Rhinolophus ferrumequinum: one gene and its partners. The protein of the gene in region 1 interacts with the protein of each later gene in a pairwise test. Links are inferred from orthologs where the notes say so. Each region holds a gene or a part of one and is shown in the gene's direction. Other genes may lie near its edges.

Region 1 (7,939 bases):
TAGTTGTTCTTTTTTTAAAATAATTTTTTAATTTTGGAATAATTTCAGCTTCATAAAAAAGTTTCATCGATCGAGCAGAGGGCTCCTGTGTATCCTTCTTCCCGTTGCCTTTAATGTTAACATCTTCCATTGCCATGACATTTGTCACCACTAAGAAATCAACATCGGTACATTAGCAGTAACTCAACTCCAGACTGTACTCTGATTCCACTAGCGTTTCCACTAACGTCCTTTTTCTGTTTTAGCCTCAAATCCAGGATACTACATTGCATTTAGTATTTAGTAGTTTTTAAAGAGTAGGAAGTAACTCAATGATATGTCTCTTGTACAAGTTTTGCAAGAGTTTAAAACTTTTCAAGATAGTCAACTGAACCAGTCTGAAAAGCTTAAACTGATTGTATTTCTTTATTACACTAATTTGCAAATGAAACGCCCACACACCCAAAAACTTTACGTTCTCTAACTACAATTTGTTGTTCATACTAGTTTAGGGACAGAAATCATAAATTATATTTATTATATTTGTGTGTTGTAACAGCACAGCTGCTTTTCTATAAACTCTCTCTAGTACTGGAAAAAAAATGTTTGAAGCCAGCACAGTGGGATCTGCTCACACACCCCTTGGGATAAAAATGGGGAGAAAGTTTTCCATGTGTGGCTGCCATGGTGAAACAGTACGAAACGGAAGACAGAAATATGTCTGGTCGGCTTTTTTCTTTTGAAAGTCAGTAAAAGTTAAGCAAGAAAAATGCTCCTCTTTGGAGTCAGATCTTAGCTCTTTCTCTTGCAAAGTTCCAACTGTAGTGTTTTTAAAACGCGGAGATGCATTTCCTAACTGTAAATACAATGGTTCTCGAGCTCGCTAGAGACGTGAAATAACCACATTTCAGAATCTACCTTTACTGTTTCACTGCCCATCATCGTCTCCCTCTCCACCAAAACAAAACTCCGTGCGACCCAGATGGGACTCGAACCCACAATCCCCAGCTCCGGAGGCTGATGCCTTATCCATTAGGCCACTGGGTCACCACAGGATCCGGGTTCTCGCACCGTCTCCTTACGCGATGCCATCATCGCGCCCCGCCCTTGCGCTCCGCAGCCTCGCATCGGGCGGTGAGTATTTTGGGAGCCACCCCCCCAGCGGCGGCAGCGCGCGCCTGCGCCTTCATACATCCTTGACCCAGACAGCAGGCCCACCCCGGCGCGCGTGCGCGTGGCTCCCCTGCCCCTCTTCCCGGGACTGCGTGGCCCGCACGCGGGCGGCGTTGTGCCTGCCTGCTGGGTTCTTGGAAGGTTCTCTGCTCTCGTTGCATATTAGGCGTTTCTGGGGAACTTCAAACAAAATTCCAATGACTGTACTCCCCCCGTTGTATTTCTTTTTACCTGGGCGAGCCCGGGTGTCTGCATTTTACGAAGCTCCCATGGACCTTCTTCTGCCACCGGCCTTAAGAACCACTAGCAGAGCGTAAGGTCCTCCCGCAACCCCGTCCCCCAACCTTCCCATCCCTTACAGCCACTTCCCTCTCTTTCTTGCCCGCACGTATTCCACGTTCATTAATTTGATAACCTATTACGTACTGTGGACTGTTGGGGGATTCCAGGGTGAACAGCCTTTTCTTTAAATCTGCCCTTCTTACCCCACTCATCTACATCTATTTTCCTCCCCATCTCCTCCTTCCCTCCAGATTAAAGGGAAAATGGATATAACAAGTTTCCTACATATAATACAAAAAATATATGGGTTTCTTTTACATCCTAAAGCTTGGTCTTGGATAGATGTGGAGACTTTCTGGTTCCATGCACAATATCTCTATGCTTGTTGCATGTAAAGATGCTGTATTTGGGGTTTTAAAAATAAAAAATTTCACTTTCTTTTTAGACACGTAATACCTGTTCATTAAAACTGTGTAATATATAGGTAAACCAAATGAAGAAAACTGACCACAATTCTACCATTCAGAGTTAAGCACTATTAACATTTTGGTGTGTATCTTTTAAATCTTAGGTGTCTATGTGTCATATCACTGTTTTGTTAACCTGTGGACCACGAGTCATCGAGTCACCCTGGAAATGTTTTTCATGAAAACTGAGATATTATTAGTAAATAATAATTCATGAATCATTTAGCTCTGATGGTGCAGAAGCAATGGTAGGTAAAACTGACACTTTAGTGAATCTAGGCAGTGGCACCAAACAGGTAACAGTGGTATTTTCACCTTCCTGCACTGGGAATGGCAGGGTGGGGGGAACCAGCTTCACGTAAGAATGTCCTGGACTATGTATAAGAATCATCAGTTGAATTACGTCTTGACTCTTGAGTACATGCTGTAAATATTTTGTGTGACAAATGGGAAATATGCATAATCATTTCTGCATACCAAAATACAGTGGTCTCTGGAGGAAAACATTGGTGCAGTGTTTGAGTTGCAGGCTATACTAGCTACTTTTTCACTGGAACACAGTGTTTACTTGAAAGAATGACTGAGACAAACTAAGATTATTCAGATTTAGGGGTGGCCAGTTGGCTCAGTTGGTTAGAGCGGGGTGCTGATAACACCGAGGTTGTGGGTTGGATCCCTGCATGGACCACTGTGAGCTGCGCCCTCCTTAAAACAAAAACAAAAACAAAAAATTCTGACTTGGTCACATTTGGGTTTGCTTCTCCAGAGCAGCTGCATTCTCAGTGTCACATCATCACAGCACAGGATCACAGCACAGTCCTGTGCCAGAGAGAGGTTATGTCACTCTTAAAGGCCTCAGTAAACATTTTATTGCAGTGTCACTGTGTTAAGGCTTCATCACCAAACCAATCCCTGTGTGTGGCTGTGAGGGGCGGGGGTGGTGTATAGAATATACTGATTGGCCTAGGCCTGAATCTCCAAACTACAGTGGTTAATAGTGGAGGATGTATGGTTCCCCAGGGCAACATTGTACATTTCAAAGGCAACTTTCACTTTTGACTCTGTATTTCTGTTGTAGGTTGTTTTCAGCTACAAGTGCAGAATAGTGGTTGAGAGCATGGATCCTGGAACCAGACAGCCTGGGTCTGAGTCCTGTCTCTGCCTTTATTGGCTGTGTAAACTTGGACAAGTTACTTAACCACTTATGATTCAGTCTTCTGTAAAATGGAACAGGTGATAATACCAGCTTACAGAATTGTGAGGATTAAATGTATTAATATATATAAAACACTTAGAATATGTCTGGGCATATAGTACTTAATATTTGCAAACAAAAGAAAACTCAATTTAGCTGAAACAACAAAAGAAGTGTATTGGATGACGTAATTGCAAAGTCATAATTGCAGCCTTCAGAGGTAGGGCAGGCTGTTGATCAGAGCTTTCCTGGTTTCTCTACAACTGTCCTAGTCAAATTTCTAGGACTTATATCCTTCAGCTCCGAACAGCAAACAGCACCTGCTTTCCCACCTCCAATCATTAAACAAAAGGCATAGCCTTCCAAACTGGATGAATTTAGGTCACATGCCTGCCCCTGAACCATTCACAGTAGTCAAGAGAATACCCTGGGGTGACTGGTTTAGGAGTGAATTCCTTTCATATTTTTGCATTTAGAGGGATGGGATTCTGCTGATTGAGTAGGTGGGAGTAAAATCAACCTCCTATGAATCCCATTGCTGCTACACAATGAGTGAGGCTGGCACAAATGCCTACAAGAATGAACAAAGTTCAATGTTTGAATTTATAGTAAAAAAAAAAAAAATCGCAATATAACTTTTCTAAAAATACCCTTTTTAGAATACAGAAAACTTGCATAAAGAGAGCAAAATGGCCCATAATCCCGGTGCTCTAATAACCATCATTGATACTTTAAAAAATATACGTGGCAAAAATACAAACATTTTATTCAGAAATGTGTAAAATACAGCATAGAACATTACTGGAACGGTTGGCAAAACTTGAACACGGATACACACACACACACACACACACACACAGCAGCAGCAGCAAATAGCAAATGTGGCAAAAATGTTAACATTTGGCAAATCTGTGTAAAGATTTGCAATTCTGTATTTGAAATTATTTAAAAATAAAAGTGTCTAGAGAAACAGGCATAATAAACCTTTCGTTACCATATTTGTGGTTTCTATGCAGTCTTTTATGACGCAAGTTTTTTTAAAAAAATTTTTAAGCCACGCAAATGTGCCATATGCCTCTACTTCGTAACTCCATAACGGCCAGAAACCACTGCCAAGTTTCTTCTGTCCTATCAGGGAAAATATGCATAGCAATATGTTTCTATGTAAACATTTGTGAAGGACATGATTTTGGGAATCATTTGTAGTACTTGGTTAATCAGGGAAACGACCAAGAACTTCAAAAGCACAAATCCTTTCAAAGGCCACAGTCTCAGGCCAAGGCTGGGCTGAGAACCCGTCCTTCGTGCTGCATGCCGGGATTTGAAGTCTTTCCACTCCAAACTGCTAGGCGCTCTGGGATCGCCCGGCCGCTCCCTCATCTCGCGATGCTATCCTCTTTACGGCTAGGCCGTACGACCCCCGCTGCAACGTGTTTTTTAAATCCACCAATGGACGCACATCATAGACTCGAACCAGCCAATCAGAATGCGGGGCCACCGGGAAATTTAAATCGCGCCGGCCGGCTGCTCGAGCCACACTGTCGTCTGGCTGATCCGTGGTGTTCGTTGCCGAGTAGCGGACCCGCAGCCTGTGCTCCCCTGCGCCGTCTCCTGTGGAAGCCTGAGCCGGCTGTGTAGGTACGAACTCAGGTCCCAGCCCGGCCCGAGCGGTAACGGCTGACCTGCAGGCCGCGTTCTGCTTACGGGTGGCGGGAGGCGAGGCTCCGGGTACACGCCCGGCCTGGCTTTGGCCTCCTTGGTTGACTAAGCCTCTGGGGCGTCGTTTGTTGACGAAAGGGCTGTTCCGCGAAGTGAGTAAGTGCTTGGGCTTTAGGCCGCCGAAACTCGGCGAGTTTCATCAAGATCCTTTGCGCATCGGGGCTCGGAAAACAAGAGTGAGGCCGGAGGGTCAAAGTCCCGGGAGGGGGCGGCCGATTAGCTCAGTTGGTTAGCGATCGTGCTGGTATTCCCAAAGTCCCGGAGTGCGCCCAGTACCTCTGGCCCCTCCTGTGGCGGTTACCGGCTGTATCTTCCCCGGGGTGGGGGGCAGGGGAAGGGAATAGAGATGGAGGTGGCAGTTGGAGAAACTATCTCAACACGTAGGCCTTGGGTTGGCTGTGTCAATTTCGTAAACGAACATAAGGGAATAAAGATAAATTGTAAGGCGCTCTTTTACTTTTGTTACCTTTTGGAGATTGCTCATAAGTATCTTAGTCTGAATAATGTCAGCCTAATTAAGTGCATTTACTCGAAATTCCTGGAAATGAAAATGTAATCGAGATTCAGAATTGTGTCGCAAATTTTCAGTGTTGACAAGAAATGTTACGGGAGACTCCATAATGTAATAATAATGAACCAAATTTTTCTTTTATTTTTCAAGTGTGGAGAATGTGCCTATTTTGGCCATTTAAAGACAATAGAGAGAGCCTCCAGAGAATCTGAATGTATTTGCGCCTAGGACATAGATATTGACCGTAAGCTCAGTTCGCCTACTTTGTCTTCAATTAACTATTTACAGACTCTATATAGTGGAGTCTAGAGCCACACTGTCCAGTATATTAGGAAAGGCTTGTGGCTAATCCGAATTTTGAATGCTGTAAGGTTAAAGTACACAAAAGATTTTGGAGAATTAGTATGAAAAAAGTGTGAAATACCTATTAATGCTTTTCTTACTGACAAAGCAAAATGATAAAAGGGACATTTTTTTTCTCTCCCCATCTTATAGCTTTCTCCCTTTGTCTCATAACGATGTCCACCAACGAGAATGCTAATTCACCAGCTGCCCGGCTTAACAGATTCAAGAACAAGGGAAAAGACAGTACAGTGAGTACTTTCTGTTACTTTTGTATAGTATTTTTTGAATGGAAAATTATTTGGGAAGGGGTCAAAACTCTGAGGGAATTTGGAAAAAATGCCCTCACTTTCTAACAAAAACTGAAATGTTAGGTGAAGTGGTATGTTATCTTTTCCCAAGGAAATGAGGCGGCGCCGAATAGAAGTTAATGTAGAGCTGAGGAAAGCTAAGAAAGATGACCAGATGCTGAAAAGGAGAAATGTGAGCTCGTTTCCTGATGATGCTACTTCTCCACTGCAGGAAAATCGCAACAACCAGGTAAATATGTTTTAGCTTATAATTGTTTGAAAATATTCCTACCTTTATGGTTCTACCTATAAAATCTGTGAAGGTTTCCTTTTTGCTCTGAATCAGTAATTCTGATGGGTTTTCTTTCCTACCCATCTTCATAATCTGTTGAAGCTGATTCCAAGGTCTTCTGTAGTTTTGATCTTCAAGTTTCCCTGCGTTTACAGCTGCCAGCTCGGTACCTTGACCTGGCCATTCCAATACCACTGAAAGTGTGTCGGGAACCAATTGCTTTCTGGATTATTTCTACCTTTTGTTATTCTCTATTGTTTGTACTTGTCACCAGTTTTGTTCATGTCTTTTTCTTCTTGAAATACTGTTAGTATTCTTCTAATTTATTTTCCTTTTCATTCTATGCCACATACTATCTACCTAAAAATTTTCCTAAAATACTGCTTTAGACATATTCTTTCTTAGCTTAACAACTTTGATGGTTTTAAATCGCTATTTTCGAAGGCTGTTTTTGTAAATTTGATCCAGCTTAGATTTTCAAAGTTATCTCGTCTTTCAAAGATAATTGGGCACTTAATTGTTTTACATTATGCTTTCTTTTAGTGCTCCCCATTCTATCATTCAAAATTGAATACTACTTATGTGCTATTTCTAGAGTATTCTACTTAAATCCCATCTTCTCAAGTTAACTATAGCATTGTTTCTCAAACCTTTCTACTGTGATCACAACATAAAACATCTTTGCTGCGCTATACTTGGGAATGTGTCGATTACAAGGTTAGATAAGAAAATCCCCAGCACATTATTTATAACTCCATCCCTTGTTCCCTAAAAGCGTATCTGAATACAAGTGATTGAGATTAATGTCGGAATAACCTTCAGACTGCTGTAATTTTTTAAATTGTTCACAGTCACCTTTTTTAGTGACAAAATGCTGGGATACTCTGTAACTTGAGACTCCAGTAAGTCATGACACCAAGTTTGAGAACTGTTCAACATATAAAATAATATTTAATTAACAGGCAAAGTTAAATATAGGGCTAATACACATTTAGTAATTCATTATAAACCTTAAAATGTCTTCACAATGGCAAATAGGAATTTTATTGTTTGTATTTAATCTTACAAAGGATAATTCCATTGTTTTTGTAGGGCACTGTAAATTGGTCTGTTGAGGATATTGTCAAAGGCATAAATAGCAACAATTTGGAAAGCCAGCTCCAAGCTACTCAAGCTGCTAGGTAAGTCTTGTCTGTTATACATGGGTAACCTAAGAACTGAGCCTTTTTAGATTTTTTGGTTGGAAAGAGATAGATGGTGTGGGTAATGGTTAAGCCAGCCATAGTCCTGTGTTCGTTAGAATCTTCCTTTGGTGAAACTAAAATTTTCTGTCATGCCTAAAATCCCACCCACACTCCATGATTATCACTATTAAACTTTTGGTATACTTTAAAGAAAAGATCAAAATTTTTATGAAAGTGGCATTTCAAGTCATTGTCAGGGAAAGGAGAAATTATTCAGTAAATGGGATTGGCACATCCATTTAGAATGGTACATCCATTTAGAAACTAAGTATACTTAGACTTTTATCTCTCACCATACACATCCATAACAGAAAGGATTAATAATTTCTGTAGCCATGTGTTAATCTCCTTCAACTTTTGTTTCTCTTTTTGCTCGCTCTTAGGAAACTGCTTTCTAGGGAAAAACAGCCACCAATAGACAACATCATCCGGGCTGGTTTGATCC
Region 2 (7,833 bases), on another chromosome or scaffold:
ATCTCTGTTCTTCTAAGTCAGCTAAACAGGATGCACTTCCTTTATTTTTCCTTTTTAATGTTCTTGCATTAGAAAGACAACCACACTACAGAAAACTGAAAATTGAGAAAAGAAAGACAACTCACCCCAACCTCATACTTCTACCTATCGCTGTCACATCTTGGGGTATTTTCTCTCCGTCTTGGTTTCTAGCACCTTCCTAAATGACCACACTGCACACCTCTGACCATCCTGGAGAAATAGGTAAATCACCGAATAAACAAATGCCAGCCCCTGCTCATTTTGGAGCTCGAGGCTAAAGTTGCCCAGTGCTCTAGGCAGGGGATAGGCCCTGGTTCCTCTGCCCTCAGGAGCTGTGAAAGGGGCACGTCATTCCGACCCAGCAGGCACTCAGCCTCTCAGGACAACTCAGTTTCCACCTCTTCAGGAATCACTGTCTATCTCTTTTACACAAAGACTTCTGTCCCTGCACATTTGGTAGGAAAGCATCCAACACATAGTGATGCGTTACCAGACAGACAGGAAATTAAATTTCACTTGTAGACATACCCTTCCATATCCTTCTTTTAATACTCAACATTATGTCATAGCATTTCACTTGGTGATTACGCAGGGTTTGCAACCATCCTTTTACACGGCCATGTAATATGCCCCAGGGAGGGTGAGCATCTGCGTTGCAGGTCTTTGTACTTAGATGTTGGAACCAAAAATTAGACAGATGTGCGCCCTGCCCCTGAGGGGCTGCCACAGTCCCTAAGCCTCTGCCCAGGCCTGGAGCTTTCATTCTTTCCAATGCACCGTTTCTAGGAGTAACCCCATGTGTAACATCTTAGGGCAATCCTTTAAAACAATTTGTACTAAAACAGAGAAGGTGACATGAGAAACCCACAGAAATAAATTCCAGAGTTCCAGTTTCTGTAGCAGACGAATGAGTTGGGCTGGCTGGCGGATGTGATCTGAGTTCACCCTACCATTGGCCGATGGGTCGTGCTGGCGTGTCACTTAGGATTCCCTTTCAGTGAGTTCATCTCTAACAGTACGTTCACCGTTAGGGAAAGTGACTCACCTACGGTCACACAGGTAGATACAGGGAGTCACACAGCTTTCACCTGAGTCATCAGCAGCACTGGCCCACAGTCACTGCCTCGGAAAGGGTGGTGAAAATATTAATATTAATAATAATAATAATAATAATATTAATAATAAAATAGTTCCTGCTGTTACTGTGTGTGCTGGGACTGTGCTAAGTGCTTTACATGGGTTCTTTCTTATCAACTCTTTTACTGAAATATATCATACGTACAGATAAATCACATGTGTACGGGTGGATGAAATTTCTCAAAGTGAACCCATCTGCGTCCAGCCACCCAGACTCAAGAAATCCATCACGTCTCCTCAGGAGCCCCCTCAGACCCCTCCTAATCCCCACCCCCTTCTCCTCCCAAGAGGCAACCACTTTCTTGACCTCTAATTCCACAGGTCAGTTTTGCCTGTTTCTGAACATTATAAAAGGACGATCCCACCATCGTGATGTATGTTATTATTGAATCCTTCGGGGTAATAGTGGCCGGGCCCATACGGCCTGTCAGGTTCTATTCTAAGCTTCGTTTACATCATCACCTAATTCTCTCAGCAACCACACAGCATAGGTACATCACCATCGTCATCCTCATTTTGCAAGTGAGGAAACTGAGGCAGAGAGTTTCAGGAAACAGCTCACCAGTGGCAGAGTCAGGATTTGAACCCAGGCCATCGGCCTCTGGAGGCCCCACTCTCAACACCCCCTCCCCCATAAGATACCATTATCAGCTCCATTTTACAGAAGAGAAGACTTCACCTTCTGAGAAGGTTAAACCACTTGGCCAACTCTTACGGCTGCTGGGTGCACAGTCATCGTGGGCTCCAGGGCCTGACTCCAACCTGGTCACCCCCTGTCCCCCCTGATTGACCCGCCACCCCAGCCGCTATCTGACACCTGCCCTTTTTGCATCCTTCCCCCAGAGGTCTCCGAAACAGCCGGGCCACAGCTGGTGACATTGCTCACTACTACAGGGATTATGTGACCAAGAAGGGCTTGGGCCACAACTTCGTGTCCGGCGCAGTGGTCACGAATGTGGAATGGGGGACGCCCGAGCCCAGCAGCTCTGGGGCCCAGGACCCCAGGCCGCTCTTCCAGGTGAGCGGTTTCCTGACCACCGAGGACCAGTGCCAGCAGCCCTTTTCCCTGTATGCCCACAATGTGGTCCTGGCCACCGGCACATCCGACAGCCCGGCGCGGCTGGGCATCCCTGGGGAGACCCTGCCCTTCATCCACCATGAGCTGTCAGCCCTGGAGGCGGCCACAAGAGCAGGCACAGTGAGCCCGGCCTCGGACCCCGTCCTCATCATCGGCGCGGGGCTGTCAGCGGCAGACGCGGTCCTCTACGCCCGCCATTACAACATCCCCGTGATCCACGCCTTCCGCCGGACCGTGGATGACCCCGGCCTGGTCTTCAACCAGCTGCCCAAGATGCTGTACCCCGAGTACCACAAGGTCCACCAGATGATGCGGGAGCAGTCCATCCTGTCGCCCAGCCCCTACGAGGGCTACCGCAGCCTCCCTGAGCACCAGCCTGTCCTCTTCAAGGAGGACCGCCAGGCCATGTTCCAGGACCCCACAGGCCTCCAGAAGGTCTTCGGCGTCTCCCTAGTGCTAGTCCTCATCGGCTCCCACCCGGACCTCTCCTTCCTCCCGGGGGCAGGTGCTGACCTCGCCATGGACCCCAGCCAGCCACTGAGCGCCAAGAGGAACCCCATTGACGTAGACCCCTTCACCTACCAGAGCACACAGCAGGAGGATCTGTACGCAGTGGGGCCGCTGGCTGGGGACAACTTTGTGCGGTTTGTGCAGGGCGGGGCCCTAGCTGTGGCCAGCTCCCTGCTGAGGAAGGAGGCTAGGAAGCCGCCCTAGCCCTTGGCCTGGCATCCTCGTACCCAGACCCTAAAGAGAAGGGGAGATCATCACAGCCCTGCTGGACACAAGATGCCCCAGTGAGGGAAGGGAGCCTCTCCTGGCAGGAGACAGGAGTGGCCATGAGCCCATGCAACAGGCTTCTCGGATAGAGGAGTGGGAGCCAAGGCTACCCAGACTCAGACCAGTGCCCAGGCTGGGAACAGTGGCTGCAGGTCAGCAAAGGCCCAGACCTGCGATTTGGGGTGAAAGCTGCCAGTGTGAGCAGGGATGACCAGGGCCAGCTGAGCGCTGAGCCAGGAGGACTCCAGGCCCCACTCCTTCTAGAATCAGGTCCCAAATAAAATCAGTGCCTGCCTCCACTCACGTGTCTGAGGATTCTGTGCTTGGGGAGGGACCGACTGCCCAGGAGCCTGTTCTAGGAGCCAGGCAGAAGCACAGGGCCAGGTGGGAGGAGGTCCTTGGGGTGGGGCTTGGGGGACAACCGATGATGCTCCAAGTGTGGCAAATGAGAAGGCAGCTGCCGTTTCCCTGAAAATAAGACCTAGCCGGACAATCAGCTCTTATGCGTCTTTTGGAGCAAAAATTAATGTAAGATCCAGTATTATATTATTTATATTATATAAGATCCCGTCTTATAGTAAAATAAGACCGGGTCTTATATTAATTTTTGCTCCAAAAGACGCATTAGAGCTGATTGTCCGGCTAGGTCTTATTTCCCGGGAAACACGGTATGCTAGAGAAGTGAGGGGAGCGTGTGTATGAGGAATGAAGTGCTGAGGAGGCTTTCCAAGCCCCCTCCCATTCTCCCTTGCAACACGTTGTCTTAGCCCCTCATGCTCATGCTTCACCTGCCACAGGGCCTTTGCACAATCAGGTCTCTAGCCCACTTTTCCCTCCTCTCTTTAACTCTTCCCCTTTCTTCCACTCTCTCAGCATAAGAGTTACTTCCCCCAGGAAGCGTCTTCTGACACAAACCCCTCCTTAGGCACCAGGGCAAATTACCAGCTCATGGCCCAAGGTGTCATCTCTTCATAGCAGTTCGGTTTTAATGATTCATTTATTTGTGGAATCTGTATCTAGCTCTACCCATTGGGCTGTAAGCTCCAAGAGGCCAAGGACCCTGTCTGTTTTGCCCATTATTGGGACCCAGAGCCTAGCACCTAACTGCGCGCCTTAACTAATCTGTTGGAGTGTGTGGGGAAGGGGGAGTTCTGGGGCGAAGACTGGTTCTGGGCGTTGTGTAATGGGAGGGAAGGTCTGAGGGGGCGTAACGCCCGCAGGAGGGAAGGATGGGTGCCCGTGGGAATTGTGGTGGAAGCCCATCGCACGGGCACGGATCACCCGAGCTGGAGCCGGCAGAGGGAGCTCCGAGCTCGCTGGACATTGCGCTCTGGCCCCTGCGGCGGTGCCGCGGGTCAGGTGGGGTGATTTTAGGTGGGGGCAGCGGGAGACTTTCGTGGGGGAAGCCCCCAGGGACGCCCCCCGGCAGGCAGACCCTCCCACCAACCCCGTGTCTACTGGGCAGCCCCTCCCTGGCCGGGGTCTAGACCCCAAATCTGCGCCCCCGCGGGCAGCCTCCTGCTGCCGCTCTCAGCCGCGGTAGGGGGCGGGGGGGGTGCGGTGGACACGGAGCACGTGGCTCGGGGTCCGGGCGGAGCGCACCCCCCCTCCCCCGCGACCGGTCCCCCGGCGCCGGCCCGTCTCCTCCGTGGCCGCGGCCGCGGGGGCAGAGGGAGGGAGGGCGGGGCGGCGCGGGCAGCGGCGCCGGGGAGGGGTCGCGCGGGGGCGGACGGGCGGGGGTCGGCGGGCTTCCGGGCGGCGGTGGCGGTGGCGGGTGCGGCGCGATGTGCGAGCGGGCGGCGCGCCTGTGCAGGGCCGGCGCGCACAGGCTGCTCCGGGAGCCGCCGCCGCAGGGCCGGGCGCTGGGCGGGCTGCTGCGCTGGGTAGGCGCCAGAATGGGCGAGCCCCGGGCGCCGCTGGCCCCCGACGTCCCCGCCGCCCCCGCCGTGGACCCTGGCCCCTGTCCCGGCCCCGCCTCGCTGCGCGGGGGCACTGCTGTCATCCTGGACGTGAGTACGCGCCCGCCGGGACCCCAAGCCCCCTCCTCCCACGGGGAACCCCGACGCCGCCCTACCTCGTTCCCGCCGGAACCCGCGAGGACCCCACCCCACCCCGAGCAGGGGACCCCCGACGCATCCCTCTGGGCAGCTCGGAGCTGGAACCGCACCCGGCCTCTCTTAAGTCCCAGAACGCGAGCCCCAAGCCTTCCCACGTCCCGGCCAGTCTCATTCCCGGACCAAGACGACCCCCACTCCTTCCTCCACCTTCTCGGAGCCGGGATTCTGGAGACCCCTTGGCCGGCCACCGCCCCCTACTTTTGTCCTGGTCCGACCCTCATCTTGCCCCAGCCCTGCACCTACCCTTTTCCCCTCATCCCTTCCCAGGACGAGAGCCCCTGACTGCCTCCAGCCCCCTGAGCCTCTCCTTCCCAGGTCCCTGCTGAGTTGCTACTTTTCAGAGACCACCTTCCCCTTCCTCGCTAGACTCTGAACCCTTGTAGTCTCATCCCTAATCAAAGACCTATTCTCCCTGCCCCCCCCTTTGAAAGTGAAGTCCCCTCCCCACCTCTGTCTTTCCTTCTCGTTTCCAGAGTGTTGGAACCACCCCCATCCGCCCTGAGCCTGGACCCCTAGGTTCCCCTTCACCACCCCCACTCCATTCTGAGCCCCCTCTGTCCTCCATTCCCTTCCCCACCTCCACCCTCTCTACTCACCCCCTCCCTCATCCTCTCTGGAAACCAAACTGCCCACCTCTGGGAAGCCCACCTCACCCTCCCACCCACTCCCCAAATGGGAGGGAGATTTCCCTGGTGGATTGCAGGGTGTGGGGGACTCCGGTGGAGTGCTAGGCGGTGGAGGGGCTTTCTCTCCTCCCCCTGCCCCATGACAGCATGGTGGTGGGATGTGCATGTCCCAGTGTGGTGGGTGGCGAGGAGATGGGGGTGCCTAGAATGTTCATGATGGCTTTCTGGGAGGGGAGTGTGTGTGTGTGTGTGTGTGTGTGTGTGTGTGTGTGTACGTGTACAGCACATCCCTGTAAGTGTGGGGGAGCTTGGATTACCTCTCTCTCCTTCCCTTCTCTCCTGGAACCCATAGCTGGCTTTGGGCAGAGAGCAATGGGTAGAGAAGGTGGAGCTGTGCTGGGTGTGTTTCAGGTTCTGGTGCCTCCAAACACACACTCGTGCATACACAGCCCAACACACAATGGACTCTCTCTCTCAAGACCCTAGCAAGCAGAGTTCACCGCTGAAAGCCCTGGGCCCATGGGGTCTGCAGACCTAGGCCTGCCGTTGTAGGGAACCCCCATCCAGACCCCTCCTGATTCTCTCCTCTAACAGTACAGGAGGTGGGCTCCAGGTTCCTAGCGTGCCATGTGAGGGCTCTGAGCCTCCATTACCTCATCTGTGAAATGGGGTGACGAGCCGAGATGGGGACTCACAGTGCTCACGCAGACTCCTAGAGCCATACATGTGGTCACGTTATTCACAGGCCCAGAGCTCACACCTGAGGGTGGGGTGCCTAGACGGGGGCTTTGAGGAGGTCCTAGGGTGCTCTGATAACTGCTCCCCTTTCTGCCCCAGCCACAGAGGCTCCTGCCTAGTACCCCAACCCCCGGGTTCAGCTAAGGAAGGGGGTGATGTCTAAGAAGGCCTCCTGAGCTGCTGCTTTGGTTTGTCACAGCCCCTGGTGCCTGATAATGGATGCCCGCACCATTGCTTGAAGGGATGGGGTGGGGGGGTATCTGTCCTTTACCCCAGGGACAGACCAAAGGTGGGATGGTCAGAGGTGGTGGTGTCTCCCCGTCTCCTATCAGCAAGGCTTACGGAATCCCAGAATACCAGGAGGGGGAGTTATCTGGTCTCTAAGCTCAGGCTAGGGTTGGGGAGTAGGGGCAGTGGCTGTCCTTCCCCCATCCCTGCCTGGTTTTCTGAGCTCCTGGAGACCTGCTTCTTCCCATTCCCTCACCCCCTAAAAAATCGAATCCTGCCCATGGCTGGTCCAGTTGCCAAACCTCCAGATTCCCTTAGCAGACACCTCCATTCAGACTTAACCCGATCTCCCTACAGAAAACCAGGGCCCTCAAGGGGTTCTGGGAGGGGTGCAGTGGTGTAAGGCATATGGCTGTGTCCACGGGACACAAATTCGGAGTGCGTCACTGAGCGTACGACTGGGTGAAGCGCGTGAACCGATGGCTCTGGGAGCATGTGGAACCAATGATTCTGGGAGCAAGCATGTGGATGGATGTGAGCGAGTGTCCACATGCGTGTGCATGTGTCTGTCGGCATGGCTGTGGGCAGGCTGGCGGCACAGAAGGGAGAGTGGGCGGCTGTTTCCGTGAGGGTGGCTCTTTCCATGAGGGTGGCTAGGAGCGCCTCTGCCTGAAACATCCCTTCCTCACCCCTGGATCCCAGCCAGATGGGGGTCTCCTCCCTGGGAAGGAAGAAGGAGGGAGCTCTGCTTCCCAGGCCCACCTGGGGGGAGTGGGATCTCAGTATCAGGTCAGGATCTGCTGCAGGCGCCTGCTCCCTGGCCCAGGGCCGCCTTGACCGACTTCTCTTCTCTGCAGATTTTCCGTCGTGCGGACAAAAATGGTGAGTTTCCCTCCCACACTGTCCCCTGAATGAGAAGCTGGCTCTCTATCCTGAGTCTTCAGGGGAACAGATCAGGGGCAGGGACTGGACAACCTGAACCTAAAGGTTTAGAGTGCAGATCTCTGAAGTCTGAAGGCCAAATTCTGACTCTGCTCCGTGCCTCAGTTTCCCCTCTGTACAATGGGACTCCCAGAGTTCCTACCTAGTGACAATGCCATGAGGATTCAGT
Region 3 (7,950 bases), on another chromosome or scaffold:
TTTTCTTTTTTCTGTATGTGTATGTGTGAAAACTTTGAAACCTCCAGAAAAGTTGAAAGAATTAAAGGTTTATGAATAAACTCTTCATGTAGGTGTAACATTTTGCCCTGTTTACTTTCTATCTTTCTGGCTCTATCTAGCTACCAACTATCTCTGCATGCATCTAACACACACACATGCACACACACAAAGTATTTTTTGACTGAACCATGTGAGAGTATGTGGCAGACATTGATACACTTGATTCCTATTGAGATAGGCATCTCCCAAGAAGAAAGATAGTTTTATGTGAGCCACAGGACCATTATTGCACCAGGAAATTGACATGAACTCTATCATATCATTTAGTGTCCGTGCCATATTCAAATTTCCCCAATTGTCAAAAAGTTTATTTCAATCTCCCTCTCCCCACCAAATCAGGATCCAATTGAGGATCAGGCATTGTAGTTAGTTGCCATGTCATCTTTGATCTGGAACAATCCTCCATATCCTTTTTTTTTTTTTTAATGTTTCTCATAAAATTCATCAGGCCTGGTGTCTTTTTAAATGTCCCACACTCTGGATTTTTTTGGTGGTTTTTCTCACAGACTCAGATTAATCATTTTTAGTAGGAATACCACGTGGGTAAGGATGTGTTTCTTATTGCACATGATTCCAGATTGTCCCTGTACTGGTTTGTTGCATTTGATCCCTAAATTAATTTGGTCCCCTAAGTTAATTTGGTCACTGGCAGGTATTGTTTTTAAATTATTATAATTCAGCCAGTAGATACCCTTGTAACAGCCAGGTCATGCGTGTCTGCCATCCCCACTAAGAAAGACCTAGGTGTGGCATCAGGACACACCAGCTCCATATTCACAAGGTCAGAAAAATGCGTCTGCTCTTCCACTGCCTATAAAATGCAGGCCCATGCCTGGGACATGTCACTCAGTCTTCCCAGAAGGGTCCAGAGAAAGGAAAGCATCCAGACAGAGACCCAGAGCAAATCTAGCCTATGCCACTGGGAAGTGACTTGCCCTCTCCAAGACTCAGTGTCCCCATTTGTGAAATAGAGTTAATAAATAGTTTCTAGTCCATTCTCTGCTTTATTTCTCTATATCTAACATATTGTCTATTTTACTTTCTTACCTTGTTAGTTGCCTTTACCTAGCAAATGTCTGCATGCAGGGATTCGTGTCTGTTTTGTCCCTTGTTGGGTGCCCAGCACCTGACACATAATAGGTCATCAATAAAGATTTGTCAGATGAATGCAGTAAATGGTATAGATTAATCGTTGGCTCTTATACCATTCAGTCTGGGCACACTTGAGGCCCCCTGGGACCGTCATTGGCGTGATCGTGTGTTGGGGGATGGGAAAGGACATCTGCTTTACCCAGCCTCTCTGTCTTTACTTAGCAGGAGACCAGCCACTGACTGGAGCCTACTCAGTGACCCTGGATGGACGAGGGCCCTCAAGGGTCATCTCCAAACATGATCTGGGCCACTTCATGCTGCGCTGCCTCACCACTGATGAGTATGATGGGCACAATACCTACCCTTCCCACCAGTACGACTAGGGATCTGCCCCTGTCCAGGAGGACAGCATGCTGGGAAATGGAGAACAAAGGAAGGAAGCAATAAATCTTGAGCCAAGAACTTCAAATTATTCTAGAAGACCTAACTCTGGCTTTGTCTAGGTGTCTCAGTGTCTCTGTCTGCCCTCTGTGTAAGATTTTCTGGGTATTCCTTCATTCATTTCCTCAGTAACAGTTTATTGAGTTATTGTTCTGCGCCCAGCCATGTGCTAGGGACCAGTGGTGACCATGATAGCCATGAGCCTTGCCTTCACAGATCTCACAGTCCAGTGGGGAAGACAACCCTGCCCCTGAGGGTGACAACCCACAGTGACCAGGGCTCTGATGGAGGAAGCATAGAGGGCTGCGGGAAGCGAGAGAGGGTACCTGACCCAGCACAGGGAACAAACAAGACTGTTGAAGAGGGGATTCCCCACCTGAAACCTGGTTTGGTAAGAATGAGCCAGGAGAAGGTCCTAAGGAATGATGGCACTCCAGGCAGAAGGAACCACATGAGCAAAGGCCAGAAGGCTGGAGAGCACTTGACCTGTTTGAAGAACTAAATTCTGTCCCCTATAGTTAATAATACTTTTCTCAGAGGTGAGGTGTGGTCAAGCCAAGAGGCTGTTCCATGGATGCTAAATTGTGCAGTCACTGTAAAAAGTTTAATCTTTATTGTGAGGTTTTATGCAAGGATTGGAGCAGGGGAGAGGTTGGGAGGAGGTACAGTCAGCTTTGTGTTTTAAGCTTCCCTTGTCTGCTGTGTGAAGGTGGATGGGAGGGGGAAAAGAATGGAGGCTGGGAGCCCGGGAGGACCAGGCAGAAGCCTTGAGGAGGGGAAGAGTGGGGCAGAACCTAAGTGGACCGTCCATGGGGGAGGGGTGGTTGGTATTCAGGAAGCAGCCTAGGCCTATAACCTGGGGACTGGGTTACAGTGGGTCCTCCCTGAGATGAGGGACCCTGGAGGAGGGGCAGGTTTGGGAGGGGGAGGGGGAAGAATTGCCCCTTCGTAATCATGTCCCTCTGGAATCTACTGTCCCCTGCCTTTATTCCCCAGAGACACTGTGCCCAGGCCTGAGTGAGCCACTCCTCTCTTCCTACCTGCAGCTTCTCCCCACGTACCCCCCCAACACCCCACCACCCACAAAATCCATTCCAATCTTGTACTTCTTCGGCAAACAGGATGGTTTGGCTGACATATTCCAATTAGTGAGAACTGGTCTGGGGTAGCCTGGAGAAAACTGCCTCTCCCTCCTCTTGGTGAAAACTTGTTGTGGGGGTGGTTCAGACTTTCAGGGCAGTAGCACTGTTTTATTTGTGCCCTCTTTATTTCTGCGATATTGTCTGGACATTTAACAAGCTTTCACTGCTTGCCTGCTTTGTGTCCAGCCCTGTGCTAAGTGATGCTGCCGACCAAGCAGTGGGTGACACAGATAACCTTGGTACTTGTCCTCAGGGGGCCCACAATCCAGACAGTGACAGCCCAGGTTGAGGATGGGCAAAGCATGGACAGAGGGGTCAGGGCTCCTCAATGGGGTAGCATAGGACACTATGGGAACCAACCCATACTGGTGTATCAGGGAAAACTTCCAAGAGGAGGAAACCTTTGAGTTGAGTCCTGAGGAGAAGCAGCCTGGGAATTAATGTAGTTTCAAAATGGGGAAACAAGTTTAAGGGTCCAGAAACCTTTTTCAGTAATTAATGCTTTTGTTGAGGTAACATTGGCTATTAACATGTAAATTTCAGGTGTACAACATTATAATTCAATATCTGTGTACTCTATTGTGTGCTTACCACCAAAAAAGTCTAGTTTCCATCCCTTACCGTACATTTACTCCCTTTTGTTCTCATTTTTGAGTATATATACTGGGAGTGCCAAAAAAATGTATACAAGTGGACACTTTGGTCAATGTTGCTCAAGCAGTAGTTCACAGTAATTAGAAGTGTCTGGACACTGATGGTAACCACTTTGAGCACCTCTTGTAATTGCAAAATTCAAACATGACTTGTAGTCATCTTTTGTTATTGGTATATATTGAGTATTACAATTTTAAAAGTTTTCCTGTCTTAAAATGTATAATATTTTTGGTACTCTCTGTACTTGTCATAGTTGTAGGCACTGGGGATATGGCAGGGAAGAAAACATAAAATCTCTATGTTCATGATGGTGGAGGGCACTTGAAGCCATTTTAGAAAAACAAAGTGAACTGGCATGGCAGAATGGTAGGGAGCAAGGGGGAAGTTTGAATCAGGCCAGACCGTGAAGGGCTTTGAGGTGAAAGCGAGAAGTTTGCACTTCTAGTCGCCAGGGTAGTGGGGAGCCATGAACGAGTCTCCAGCAGCGGAGGTACCATCCTGAGAGAGGCAGGATGGAGCGTCAGGAGGATGCGGAACGGACCTGCCACCAGAGGACACGCTGAGGAGTCCTGAAGATTAAGAGGGGGGCCTCGAGCAAGACTGGGGCGGTGGAGGGGCGGGCTGCGGTCGCCCAAGCAACGTACGCCGCGCCAAACTACTGGCTGGTCTCCAGTGGCGTAGTCCTTCGCCCGGCAGCGTCCGCCCTCGGAACCCCCAGGGCGCGGCCTCCGCGAGTGTTTTAGCCTCGCCCTCCCAGAAAGTGGGATGGGGGGGAGCGTGCCCACCAGTCTTGCTCCGTGACCGTGTCCGGGTCTGATATAAAGGGACCGAAGAGAGTAACGCTGACGATCTTGGAGCGAGGACAGTAGCTGATTTAAAGGAAACAGTTTTGATGTCCCCGCCACCTTCCACCCTACAGACATGGCCCCGCCCCCTGGAGAGTCGGAATCCTTTAAATGGTCGGGGCGCCGGGGAAGGGAGGGGTGGGTCAGCCGTCTCCAGGAGACAGGCTGGTGGCTCCGCCCAGCCAATCCGCGCCCTGCGGCGGGCGGGACTCCACCCAATCGCTGCTCGCGGCTCGGCTCCGAGGTGGAGCTGGGTGAGTCCCAGGCCAGAAGGAGAGGCCCCCGGGAGGCTAGCAAGGCCCCTACCCAGCCCTGGAGGGTCGCAGAGTTGCTGACGTTCCTGGAGGTAGTCGTTGTGAACCTTGTAGCTGAGGTGAGGGGTGGCCGCCGGGCTTGAGACCTGCCTTGGGTTGGGGGAGGTGAAGGCGGAGTCTGGGCTGGAGTGGGGGACGCAGATTAAAAGTGACTGATAGGGTTTGGGGACCGGAGACCGAGTTCGAGATTCTGGACAGGAGGCGAAGTTGCTGGGGCAAGATCTTCAAGTGGAGGGAGTTTGAAGCTGGGCCGTGGGATATTTGGAGAATTGAGAGATCCAGAGAAGGAACTTTTAGGGCAGGGAATCTGGACATTAGGACAATTCGGGTCTCCGGACGGCTTGAATTCGGTTCTCTAGTGTTCTGGAAAAGGTGTGAGGTTGTTGGGGCTAGGATCCCGGGCATTTGGAGAAGCGAGAGGACTAGGGGCAAGGAATCTTGGTTTCCCAGAGGCAGTGGCGGAGAGGAGGTGCTGGGGGACAGATCCATGTTCAGATCTTGGAGCCGGAGCGGGAGTTCAGAGGTAAAAGTCTAGAGGCGTTTGAAAGTCGGGGGAATATAGGGGAAAGTTGACGGGGGAAGGTCTCAAAATTGAGATACCTACTGTCCCGAACGGAGTGGATCGGAGAGCATTTGTAGTCTTTGAGCGATGTGTTGGGGCCTGGACCCAAGAGCAGTTAGGGGGAAGAATCCAGGACCTTCTGAGGTCTGAAGGACCGGGAGAAAGCAGTGTTAGAGCCGCAGTGTCGGGTGGGGGAGGGGTGTTCCGGGCCCGGAGCTCAGACTCACAGCCCTAGAGGCAGCGGAGGGCGGGGCTGGGCCGGCGTCGGCAGCTGGACGTCCGGGTTCCCTTCCCCCACTCCCCCCCCCGGTGTCCTTTGCGCATGCCCTGAGGGAGGGCGGGGGAGGTTCGTCCCGGTGGCTTGCGGAGCTCTCTGGGGATTGTAGTGCAAGCTCAAAGTTAACGTAGGTACCTGGTGGCTATTGGCCCACATTTCCCACAAGCCCCTGGGCCAAATTGGGGCGTGCGTGGCTGCTGAAGGGAAGATCCTGGAGGGGGCGGGGCCTGTAGAGATCCGTGGTTTGGTTGGATGGGTCAGGAGGGGCGGGGCTTGGCGTGAATCGAGTTCTAGCAAGTTTTTCTGTGGGGCTCTTGTGTGGGGGAAGCATAACGCGCGGGCGGAGGGAATGCGAGGCCCTGTCTCCCGTTGTTGGGAGCGCTTTCAGTCAGTTAAGAAGAGGGAAATGACCAGAAATATACTCTGTGAAAGAGTCTCGACAAATAGGTGCCCTAACAGGCTCCAGTTGCTCAAATATAGCAAGTACTCAATAAATAAAACTATCAAATGAAGAAATAGCGATTAACTCTTGTTCATTAAGCATTTCCTGAGTGGTGGGTCCTGTGCATTACCTGTGGGGTCTCCTTGATGATGCAGTGAGAGTTTTTACAATCCCCATTTTACAGATGAGGAAACAGGCCCAGAGAGGTAACGTCACATCATTTTCCAAGATCACACAGCTGAGCACTGTGAAAGGCAGAATTAAAACCGAAGATTTCCTGCTTCCAGTCCAGGCCTGTGTACTCCCCACCTGTCTTGTGTGTGTCACATTTGAAATGAGTATTGTGGAAAGAACAATTTTAAGAGTCAGGAGGACTTGGGTTAGGGACCTCAACTTATAGATGAAGAATTGAGTCTCAAGGAGGAAAATTCACTATTTGAGGCCACCCAGGCAAGTAAGTGGGATTCAAACCCAGCTGTGTTTAAGGTCAGGTCTTGTTTTCTTACCGTGTTTCCCTGAAAATAAGACCGGGTCTTACATTAATTATTGCTCCATGAGGGCTTATTATCAGAGGATGTCTTATTTTTCATGTACAATAATCTACATTTATTCAAATACAGTGACGTCGTCTTCTTCTGGAACATAGTCATAACGTACTAAATGCGTCCTTCTGGCTGAGATCTTAACGGGGGCTTATTTTCGGGGTAGGTCTTATTTTCGGGGAAACACGGTAGTCACATACATACGTTTACTCTCCTTAGCCTTGTGGGATTCATACTATTTCCATTTTATAGATGCAAAACCTGAGGTTTAGACCATTAAAAATCAACAACTATATCGGAGATTCTGGATTTGAACTAGCCAAGCTGTGTCTGACGTGCCCCTCCCTCTTCTCTTCATAGGGCATCATGGTAGGAGGGTTGAAGAGAAAACACTCAGACTTGGAGGAGGAAGAGGAAGATGAGAAGTGGGACTGGGGTCCGGCAGGCCTTCGAAGCTACCAGCAAGCCCTGCTGCGCATCTCCCTCGACAAAGTCCAGCGAAGCCTGGGCCCCCGAGCACCCAGCCTTCGCAGGCATGTCCTCATCCACAACACCCTCCAGCAGCTCCAGGCCGCACTTTGTCTGGCTCCAGCACCTGCCCTGCCCCCTGAGCCTCTCTTCCTGGGTGAGGAGGACTTCTCCCTGTCGACCACCATCGGCTCTATTCTCAGGGAGCTAGAGACTTCCATGGATGAGACTGAGCCCCCTCAGAATCCAGTGGCCCCCCTGGGCCCCCAGAATGAAGTGCTGCCCCAGCCCGATCCAGTCTTCTTAGAAGCTCTGAGCTCCCGATACCTGGGGGACTCTGGTCTGGATGACTTTTTTCTGGACATTGACACATCCACAGTGGAGAAGGAGCCTGCACTGGCCCCACCGGAGCCTCCACACAACCTCTTCTGTGCCCCAGGGTCCTGGGAGTGGAATGAACTAGATCACATCATGGAAATCATTCTGGGATCCTAAAACTTTGATTTGGGGTGGGGTGGGGATGCTCCCTTCACATCTCAGCCTCAGTGGGCTGGATCCCAGGGTGCAACCCTGTGTGTGTGTGTGTGTGTGTGTGTGTGTGTGTGCGCGCGCGCGCGCTCCTGTGTGTTTTGGTGGGGGCTCTTCCTCGCCTCCCATTTCAGGGTTCCACAAACAGTCTTGCATGTGTGCGTGTGTCTGGTTACCATAGCCTTCTGTGAAGGTGGGTCTTCCTGAATTAATTTATCTGTTCCAAATGCCTTAATGAGACCCTGTTTCTGGGAGTCTGATTTCCCACTTCCGCATTTCTTCTGTCTTGCCCTCCAGTTCCTACTCCCCTTGTGACCACTGGGGCCTCAGGGAAGATAAGCTGGGCCTGTCAAATGATGACTGGGGTGGACTGCCTGGTTGCTATGGAAACCCAGGCTCTGCCTCTTTTACCTCCAGGGAATAGGAGGGGCTGGCCTCCTCCCCCCAGGCAGAACCCCACCTTGTTGGTGGGACCCCAGTCCCAGCAGCCTCCTGATTCATAACCAGGCCGGACCACGTGCAATAGGGTGGAAACCAAACTGCTCCATGCCACATTATTTAA
Region 4 (7,875 bases), on another chromosome or scaffold:
ATAATGTAAAAAAATATAGGGTTCCAAGTGAAAAAAGCAAGCTTAGTATTTGTACGCTAAGACTTCTGATACACTTAGGTACAAAAAATATCTTGGATGTGTTCAGATGGTAGTGGTACGGGCATTTTGCTGCATTGTGGTTACTCTGATACTTCAACATTTTTATTTCACCCAAATGAGGCACACTTAACAAACTACATAATAACTTCCTTTTAAGCAGTCTGTGAATCAATGGTATAACCTTGGGCAAGATACTTAACATAGCCAAGCCTCAGTTTCATGTATAAACTGCAGATGATAGTACCTATCCTACAGGGTTGCTATGAGCATTACATGAAATATGGAAAGTGCTTGGCATATAATAGCTACTTGATGAATAGCTGTTATTATTTTATCATTAAAGGTAGGTAAAATTTTGTACACCTTGAAATACAACAGCAATGCAGTACCTGTCATCTGAGTTAGAGGCTATTTTTATTCACCCATCAAACAGGCCATTTATTAAAAATTTACTACAAATGACTACAGCTACCATTTATCGAGCACTTACTCTGGGCCAAGGATTGCGTTGACCCCTTCATTTGTAATATGTACCAAGGTTGTTTTTTAAAAAAAGGCAATGAACAGTGTTGGTCCTTTGAGCAGGAAAGGCTGAAAACACATCAGAAGTTCTAGCAGTACCTTCTCAGCTTGATATAAGGCAGGGTTATTTTAAATACTGAAGACAAGGTAGGGGTTATAATTTCCACTTCACATGTGAGGGGGTTAATTATTTTGCCCAAGTTCACACTCACTTAGTAGTTAAATCCCAGCCTTTCTGACTCCAAAGCCTGCACTTGAGTTTATTTCTCCGACAAAGCACTGTGAAGAATACTGCAGTGGAAACCAGAATCACATAGGGGCCTGCACCCATGGAGTTTATAATCTAGCTGCAGAAAAAAAGCCATTTTACAGCATAGCAGCATACAATTGTAGTATTACCTGCATTCCTCCAGATCTTGTAATTGCTGCATTAGTCTATCCAACTGTTCTTCTAAATTCTGCTTTAATTTGCTTGTCTCTGTCTTTCCTCTGGAAGCCATTTTAATCTCTAAGTAGAACAACAAACTCACATAACAGTATATATTTGGTTATTTGAAATGATTCAACATACCAGTAAAATTTAAAATAGGCTATACTCTTTCTGAGCTACAGGTGTGGGAAAGATAGTTGCGCAAAGAAAATCTCAATTTACAGGTAGAAGTTTAAACTCATAGTAATAACACTCCACAAAAATGCCTGGCAGTCTTCTTAATTGACTTGAAAGATTAGAAGTCTTCACTATTGGTCTACCTTACTTTAAACAAATTTGATACACGAAAATACAGATTCATAAAGAAACAGATCAGGTGTGACTTTGCTTTACACAGATTTGTTATAACATTCTTTTTCATTCTTAGTAAGTATGCTCCAGGACTCTTGCTAGTCTTATGTGCATTTAACTAATGCCTCGTAGGCATGAACAACTTTTGATATGAATTTCTTCTTTGGAAATGTGCTCGTTTTTCTACTGCATTATCTCCCACTTACTGATTTCTATAACATGGAAATGACGACTTTGTAATTATGCTGTAAATACTATCTTGTCTCCTGACTTTAAATTCTATTTATGGTGTTTTTTGTGATGATAAATTATTATTTTTATTAGCCAATTCTGTCTGTCATCTTCTTTAAGTATTTTTAGTTTTGTGCCCCATTAAGGCAGGTCCGAACCATCTCAAGACTTAAAAAAACATACTATTTTGTATTTGAAAACTTTAAGCCACTGCAACTATTTTTTGTTGATGCTGTGAAGTAGGGGACTTTTCTTTCAAATTGATAGTCAATTGCCCCAACACTATTTACTAGTCAGTAATTATTTATGCCACCTTTAATGCATTCAATACAAACAGACTGAAGTCTGTTTCATTGATAATATTCTGGTCCTAAGGCTTTACCTCACTATTTTAATTATTATAGCTTTAGAGCTGGTATATACTGATAACTGATAAGAAGTTGTTTTTATTACTGTGGGTTCCCCCCCCAATAATTCTTGGTTATTCTTATGCATTTTTCTTCTCTAGATGAATTTAAGCATCAGTCTGTCAAGCTTCCTTTAAAATTCAATTGAAATTTTGACAGGGATTACATTAAAATTAGAGACTAATATGGAAAAAAATCTGTATCCTTGAAATTGAATCTTTCTATCAAGCAATAAAACCTCTCCATTTATCTGAATTTTCTTTTATAGTCTTTAAAAGGAAAAGTATTCTGTTTTTCACAAAGGCTTTGAACATTGGCTATTCTTAGCTATTTTTTTTTTTTATATTGGGGATAGTGTTTTTGTTATTACAATTTCTGATTATTGCTGGTGTAGAGAAAAGCTGACTTTGGTTATTGGTATTGTATGTATTTACCTTAACGTTTATAGCATTTAAAACAAATGTTTTTCCACTTATAAAAATTAATCAAAATGTGTTTCCTGAAAGGAAATGTAAGTCTAATATTAACTATAACCATTCATCAAAATCTAAATCCTAGGGTAACTTATTAAAGCATTTAAAATTTTCCTACACATTATCATTATCAGATGATTTGATATGAAAACGTCAATGCATAGGATTTCTTACATTCTGTTCAAAATAGAATACAATCAATGAAAATCTATTCTTCCTACCGTATCTTTTAAAATTGGCTTTAATCATCTATAATCATTAATGATATGTAAACATAAATGAGTTACATTATTGCCAAAAGTGTAACTTACTACAGCTATGTTTCAGGTATAATAGGTTCATGTATAATAGGTTAGTCAGAAGTGTAATTTATGATAGTTATGTTTCTTGTATAATTTCTCCTGGAAATACATATTTAAATTTTATTTTAAATCTGTTGAATTTTCCAGTAAAAGTTAAAGCAAACCCAAGATAAAACTGTAAGTGTCTTTTCAGGATTAATTCCTAAAGTCTAACTGCTGAACTACTTGCTGTTCCAAAACATGCCACACACTTCTCATTTTTCTCTACCTATCAAGCCCAAGTCATTCATTCTGCAGAGTCTATCTCGAGTTTCACCTTCTCCATGATTTCCTTGGTTCACCATCATCACTAGATTGTAAATTGAGAGTAGGGCTTTCTCTTTCTTTCTATGTACAGTAGCAGCATCTAGCACAAAGCTGGGCACAGAAAGTATTGGATAAATAATTGGTAAATGAATAATGAAAATTGCTTCTTCCACGCATTTCATATCTTAATCTTTGTTTAGCATTTATTTCTGCCTTGAATTATATGTGAGTTCATTATAACTCGTTGTTTGTCTTCCTCTCTAGACTGTAAACACTCTGAAAGCAGGAAACGAATCTGATTACCCTCAGCTCCCTCAGCACTTAACACTGAATAGATGTTCCACCATTGGATGAAGTATATAAAGGCACAACATATTTTATGGAGGTAAAGCTTTCCTAAATAAATTTCAGATGGAGGCACTTTAAAAGCCTTCACCTGATGCTACATTGAGATTCATCCCTGAAAGATTAACTCGCTGGCACCACCTAGTATTCAATAAAGGTGGTGCATCTTTTACCGAAACAGCAGACATGGTTCTTAAAAACTGTCATCTGGAGTGCAAGGTGCTCATTCAGGCTCACCTGTCTCTTAGTCGTCCTCTGAACTCTGCACAGTGTTGACCAGTCTCAAATTGCATAAACCCCCAATTCTTGAAATCCCAAGTGTCATAAACTTGAGGAAAGCGAAACTGTTCATCCGAACTACAGGAACCTCAAAGTTCAAACCACCTGGGCGTGGCGTTGGCTGGAAAAAGAAAAACCATTAACGAGCAGTTGTATTTACTATATATAATCTTGGCTTAAAGCGGTCCGGATAACTTCCACTCGAGCAGCGTACAATTGAAACACACCCCTCTCTTTCCAGGAAGACATCAAGGGGGCAGGTGGGGAAGGAGGGAGAGAAACCCGTTTTCTTTGTCGATTGCGCCTCTGGCAGCCTTTCTGACATTTTTCTTACAAAGGCGAAAGTGTAACTGAGGGAAACCCCGCACCTGTAACGCCTCGAGGGAAGTTATCACCATCCAGAAGCACAGAAAAGATAAGGGCGGAGAGCACACCTTTTCCCGTCTGGAAGAGAGCAGCGTTTGGACCTCAACCATCAGGAAGCCCTCACGGAGCAGCTCTGACCACGGCCCCAAACCCCATCTTCACGGGAGAAATTTGAAGCTCCCGCATTTGGGTCTTGAAGCGGCCGGGCTCGACTAGGCCCCGGGTGCCACCAGACGTCGCCGTAAACCCGCCGCCCCCCAAACTTTCCGGGTCCTCCCGGACCAGGACCTAGACAACTTCCTCAGAATCTCGGGGTTCTCTCTCACCCTCTGTCCACCAGTCCCCAGAGTTCGGAGCCAGGGGCCCCGCCTACCTGAGGGTCCAGAGCTGGCGGACGCAATAATGTGGTGCATTTCCGCCGAAAGTAGGCACTTCCGGTCTCCTGGAGCCAATGAGGGTGAGGCTGCGGGTGTTCCCCTCGCTGGCTTTCGGGCTGCGTGTAGTCTTCGATCCAGTTGACCCTGAGAAAGGGGTAAGTCTCCCTACCCCGACTCCCCGAGTCTGTAGGGTAGTCAGTCTACCACCCCTTTTGGTCGCAAGCAGAAGGGAGGCCGAGATGATGGGTCTTTGAAAGTCAAATACAGCGGCCCCCGAGTCAAGGTCATATTCGAGTTTGGGGCGAGAAGGCTTGCCCCTTTATTCTTTCGATCTCTTCGTGGAACCCAAAACCTCGGTAATTTTGCCTCTGGGCTTCGGAAGAGGTGACTTTAGTAAAAAAAAATAAATAAAAAAAAAATTTTTTTTCGTCTCTAGAACAGGCTTCTTGAGCTTGGCAGAGCTGGTGGGAGGCGGAAGAGGAAGTCCTCCATTCTGAACTTTTTCCTCCGAAATTACTCTTTCCAAATCTATAAAATATTAAACCCACCTGCTTGGAAGCGGTTTGACACGCACACCCTTTGAGAAGGAGACTACTAGCCGTTGGGCAGCGCTTTTTAAAAAGTTACTTTGAAATTGGGTGGAAACCGTTTTCTGGTGTTCCCAGCCCATTTTCTTGAAGAGTCAGTAGTCCACAAGACAACATTAGGGTTTAAAACAAAATTGTTTGAAGTGTTTCCTTTAAAACTAATTCTTTTTCAAGGGCCCAGAACAAACTTCCAACTACCATTACTGTAGAACTCTGCCAGAATGAATTATTTCTGTCAGTTCTGTATAATTGTAAAATTCCTTACTTATGGCCATAAATTGTTTTTCACAGTTACAATTTGGATGTGAAGCCACTGTTTCTAGCCCCATTTAGAAAAGACTGTTGACTTACAGGTTGGAATAGTTCCAGGAGCCTACCCTGCGAAACACTCCAGAGTCACAGGATGCCCTTTGTAAAAGTAAGTGACGGTTATGTTAATGTGATTACCTCTAATTTTGATATGTGAATGTGTGTGGAAGTGTCAGCATTTTTAGTAACATGGAACTCTCAATGACAGATAGTTGGGGTCAGTGCCAAGCAAAACAAAACTGGGAAATATACTTTCTTCTTTCACCATTTGAAGAACTTGATGAATAAACATTTGCTCACTGTGCACTTCCCTTAATTTAGAGGATGATAATACAGTGTTCTATTCAGGCATTTGTTGGTTTTAGTGTGGGCAGCCTTGAAGCTGTGGAGGAAGGGCCTCACCATACATGCATTTTATGTCCTTGCTCTTCTTCCTCAGTGACTTAATCTGAACCGACGGTCCTGTGCTGACTGTGTTGTTGTTTTTTTAAACTTTTATTTATTTAAGTGTGTTTTTCCGGGACCCATCAGCTCCAAGTCAAGTAGTTGTTTCAATCGGGTTGAGGGCGCAGCTCACAGTGGCCCGTGTGGGGATCAAACCGGCCACCTTGTTGTTAAGAGCACCGCGCTCTAACCAACTGAGCTAACTGGCTGCCCCGCTGAGGGTATTTTTATATGCCTGTGGGTTCTCGTTTAGAGTTAATGGAGAATGAACAAGTGTCCTTAGTGCATAAGTAAGAGAAATTGGTTTGAGTTCCAGTTCTCAAGCAAATATAGACTCCAAACCTTGGGGTGTGGGGAAGGGAGAAAAGAGAAGAATTTGGAAAAAGGAATGATGTGTAAGGTAGGTAGTCCTGGGAGAGAGCACTGGGGAAAATAACCTCAGAACTGGGAGTCATCACTGAGAAACCAGATACGGGAATACTTTGGAAATACCACAGAGATGAACCTTGAGTGGCGAACAAGAAGTACCATGAGCCAAAGGGTCTCTGAACAGGTGGATCCCTTGTAAATGTCTACTGGAAGATAGCATTGTAAGTCTTGAGTGATGGCTAAGCATGAACTTTTAGAGTCAAGGTTGTTCCACGAGCTGTGAGAGCTTGAACAAGTTAATCATCCTCTTTGAGCTTCAGTTTCCTCATCTATTAAAAAAAGGGATAATAATAGTACCTACCTCATTGGAGTGTTGTAAGGATTACATGAGTGTTTAGCACATTGCTTGGCAGAATTCAGTGAATATCACTTATTATTATCATTATAGATAAAAAGGCATAAATGGATATATGTGTACATATTTATAGGGAATAGGCCCATCCAAAGAGAATGAGTGAATAAAACGAGGATTCCATAAGTGGGAACGCTGAAGCTTTCCGCCCCTCTGCTGTCAATTTCCCAACCCTAGGCAACCACTGATCAGCTTTCTGTCATTACAGATTGCATTATCTGTTCTAGAATTTCATACAACTGGAACGATACAGTGTGTACTTTTCTGTATTTTGCTTTCACTCAAAATAATGTCTGAGATTCGTTCATGTTATTTGTATCCGTAGTTTGTTCCTTTTTATTGCTCAATGATATTCCATTACAAGGCTATTTGAACTTTGCTTATTCATTCATTCATCTCTTGATTAACATTTGAGTTGTTTCCAGTTTTTGGCTACTGTGTATAAAGTCAAACCATGCAATTCTTTCAGTGGACATGTGTTTTCATATCCCCATTATTTTTAAGTTATCCTCTTAATTTGTACCTAGAATCCTTTCTTTATGGCTTCCTTAAGGACTTTCCTCCATCAATTATTCACATTCTTGCAGCTTCTGCGGCTTCCTAATGGTGCTGTCCTCTCAATCTCCCAACATTCTAATTCTAGTCTTCAAAAAAATCAAATCAAATAAATAACCTTCACTTAACTGTGATATCCCATTGAAGCCAGGGTTCAGTATCTCTGGGTTTTACTGTCAGGTTCTAGTCTATTTCTGTTTGCCTACTAGATCTCTCTACTTAAATATCCTGTGTGTGCCTTAAATTCAACACGTGTAAAACAGTAGTCTGTCTTTTTATGCCTTGCCTCCCCACCTCCCAACCTGTGCTTCCCGGTGCTGTCTTTGTTGGCGCACCATTTACCCAGTCACTGAAGTCAGAAATGTCCTCCCCGCTCCTCCTCCCCACCTCCTCCATTCAGTCACTTGATCCCTTGGCATCATTCCTCCTGTTATTACCCTTTATTATCTCTCGCCTGGACTGATAGAGTGCTCCAAAGTAGTGCTCTGCAAACTTTAGGGTGCATGCAGATCACCTGGGGATCTTGTTAAGATGCAGATTTTGATTTGGTAGGTGTAGGGTAAGGCCTGTGATTCTGCATTTCTAACCAGCTCCCACGTGATGCGCATACTACTGGTCCATTCTGTCTTCACTGTCTCTCTCAGTAATGTCTGGTCCATTCTGTCTTCACTCTCTGGAATGTCTTTTCTATTTTGTCTTCACTCTCTCTCGGTAATGTCATCCAGTCTCATGACTTTACATACTATATGT

The links.
Region 2: the proteins of KPNA2 (region 1) and NECAB2 interact in binary tests that used the Homo sapiens proteins (3 or more experiments, as listed by UniProt). The two-hybrid records come from large-scale screens. The link is inferred for Rhinolophus ferrumequinum from reciprocal best matches to the Homo sapiens genes KPNA2 and NECAB2.
Region 3: the proteins of KPNA2 (region 1) and SERTAD3 interact in binary tests that used the Homo sapiens proteins (3 or more experiments, as listed by UniProt). The two-hybrid records come from large-scale screens. The link is inferred for Rhinolophus ferrumequinum from reciprocal best matches to the Homo sapiens genes KPNA2 and SERTAD3.
Region 4: the proteins of KPNA2 (region 1) and NMNAT1 interact in a two-hybrid assay, tested with the Homo sapiens proteins (3 studies listed by BioGRID and IntAct). The two-hybrid records come from large-scale screens. The link is inferred for Rhinolophus ferrumequinum from reciprocal best matches to the Homo sapiens genes KPNA2 and NMNAT1.

The regions. Positions count from the first base shown.
Region 1 is NC_046304.1:43,076,179-43,084,117, reverse strand, and holds the start of KPNA2 (importin subunit alpha-1), read left to right. Parts: upstream 1-4,576; 5' UTR 4,577-4,734; intron 4,735-5,476; exon of another isoform or gene 5,477-5,570; intron 5,571-5,821; 5' UTR 5,822-5,844; coding exon 5,845-5,919; intron 5,920-6,070; coding exon 6,071-6,208; intron 6,209-7,342; coding exon 7,343-7,431; intron 7,432-7,877; coding exon 7,878-7,939.
Region 2 is NC_046298.1:29,517,792-29,525,624, forward strand, and holds the start of NECAB2 (N-terminal EF-hand calcium-binding protein 2), read left to right. Parts: upstream 1-4,797; coding exon 4,798-5,022; intron 5,023-7,579; coding exon 7,580-7,604; intron 7,605-7,718; exon of another isoform or gene 7,719-7,833. Other genes in the region: OSGIN1 (oxidative stress-induced growth inhibitor 1), read left to right, coding at 2,002-2,950. UniProt on the Homo sapiens protein: May act as a signaling scaffold protein that senses intracellular calcium.
Region 3 is NC_046298.1:39,118,212-39,126,161, reverse strand, and holds the start of SERTAD3 (SERTA domain-containing protein 3), read left to right. Parts: upstream 1-4,508; 5' UTR 4,509-4,628; intron 4,629-5,019; 5' UTR 5,020-5,056; coding exon 5,057-5,092; intron 5,093-6,034; exon of another isoform or gene 6,035-6,304; intron 6,305-6,752; coding exon 6,753-7,355; 3' UTR 7,356-7,950. Other genes in the region: BLVRB (flavin reductase (NADPH)), read left to right, coding at 1,396-1,556.
Region 4 is NC_046292.1:6,559,102-6,566,976, forward strand, and holds the start of NMNAT1 (nicotinamide/nicotinic acid mononucleotide adenylyltransferase 1), read left to right. Parts: upstream 1-4,471; 5' UTR 4,472-4,604; intron 4,605-5,327; 5' UTR 5,328-5,439; coding exon 5,440-5,454; intron 5,455-7,875. Other genes in the region: protein LZIC, read right to left, coding at 982-1,082.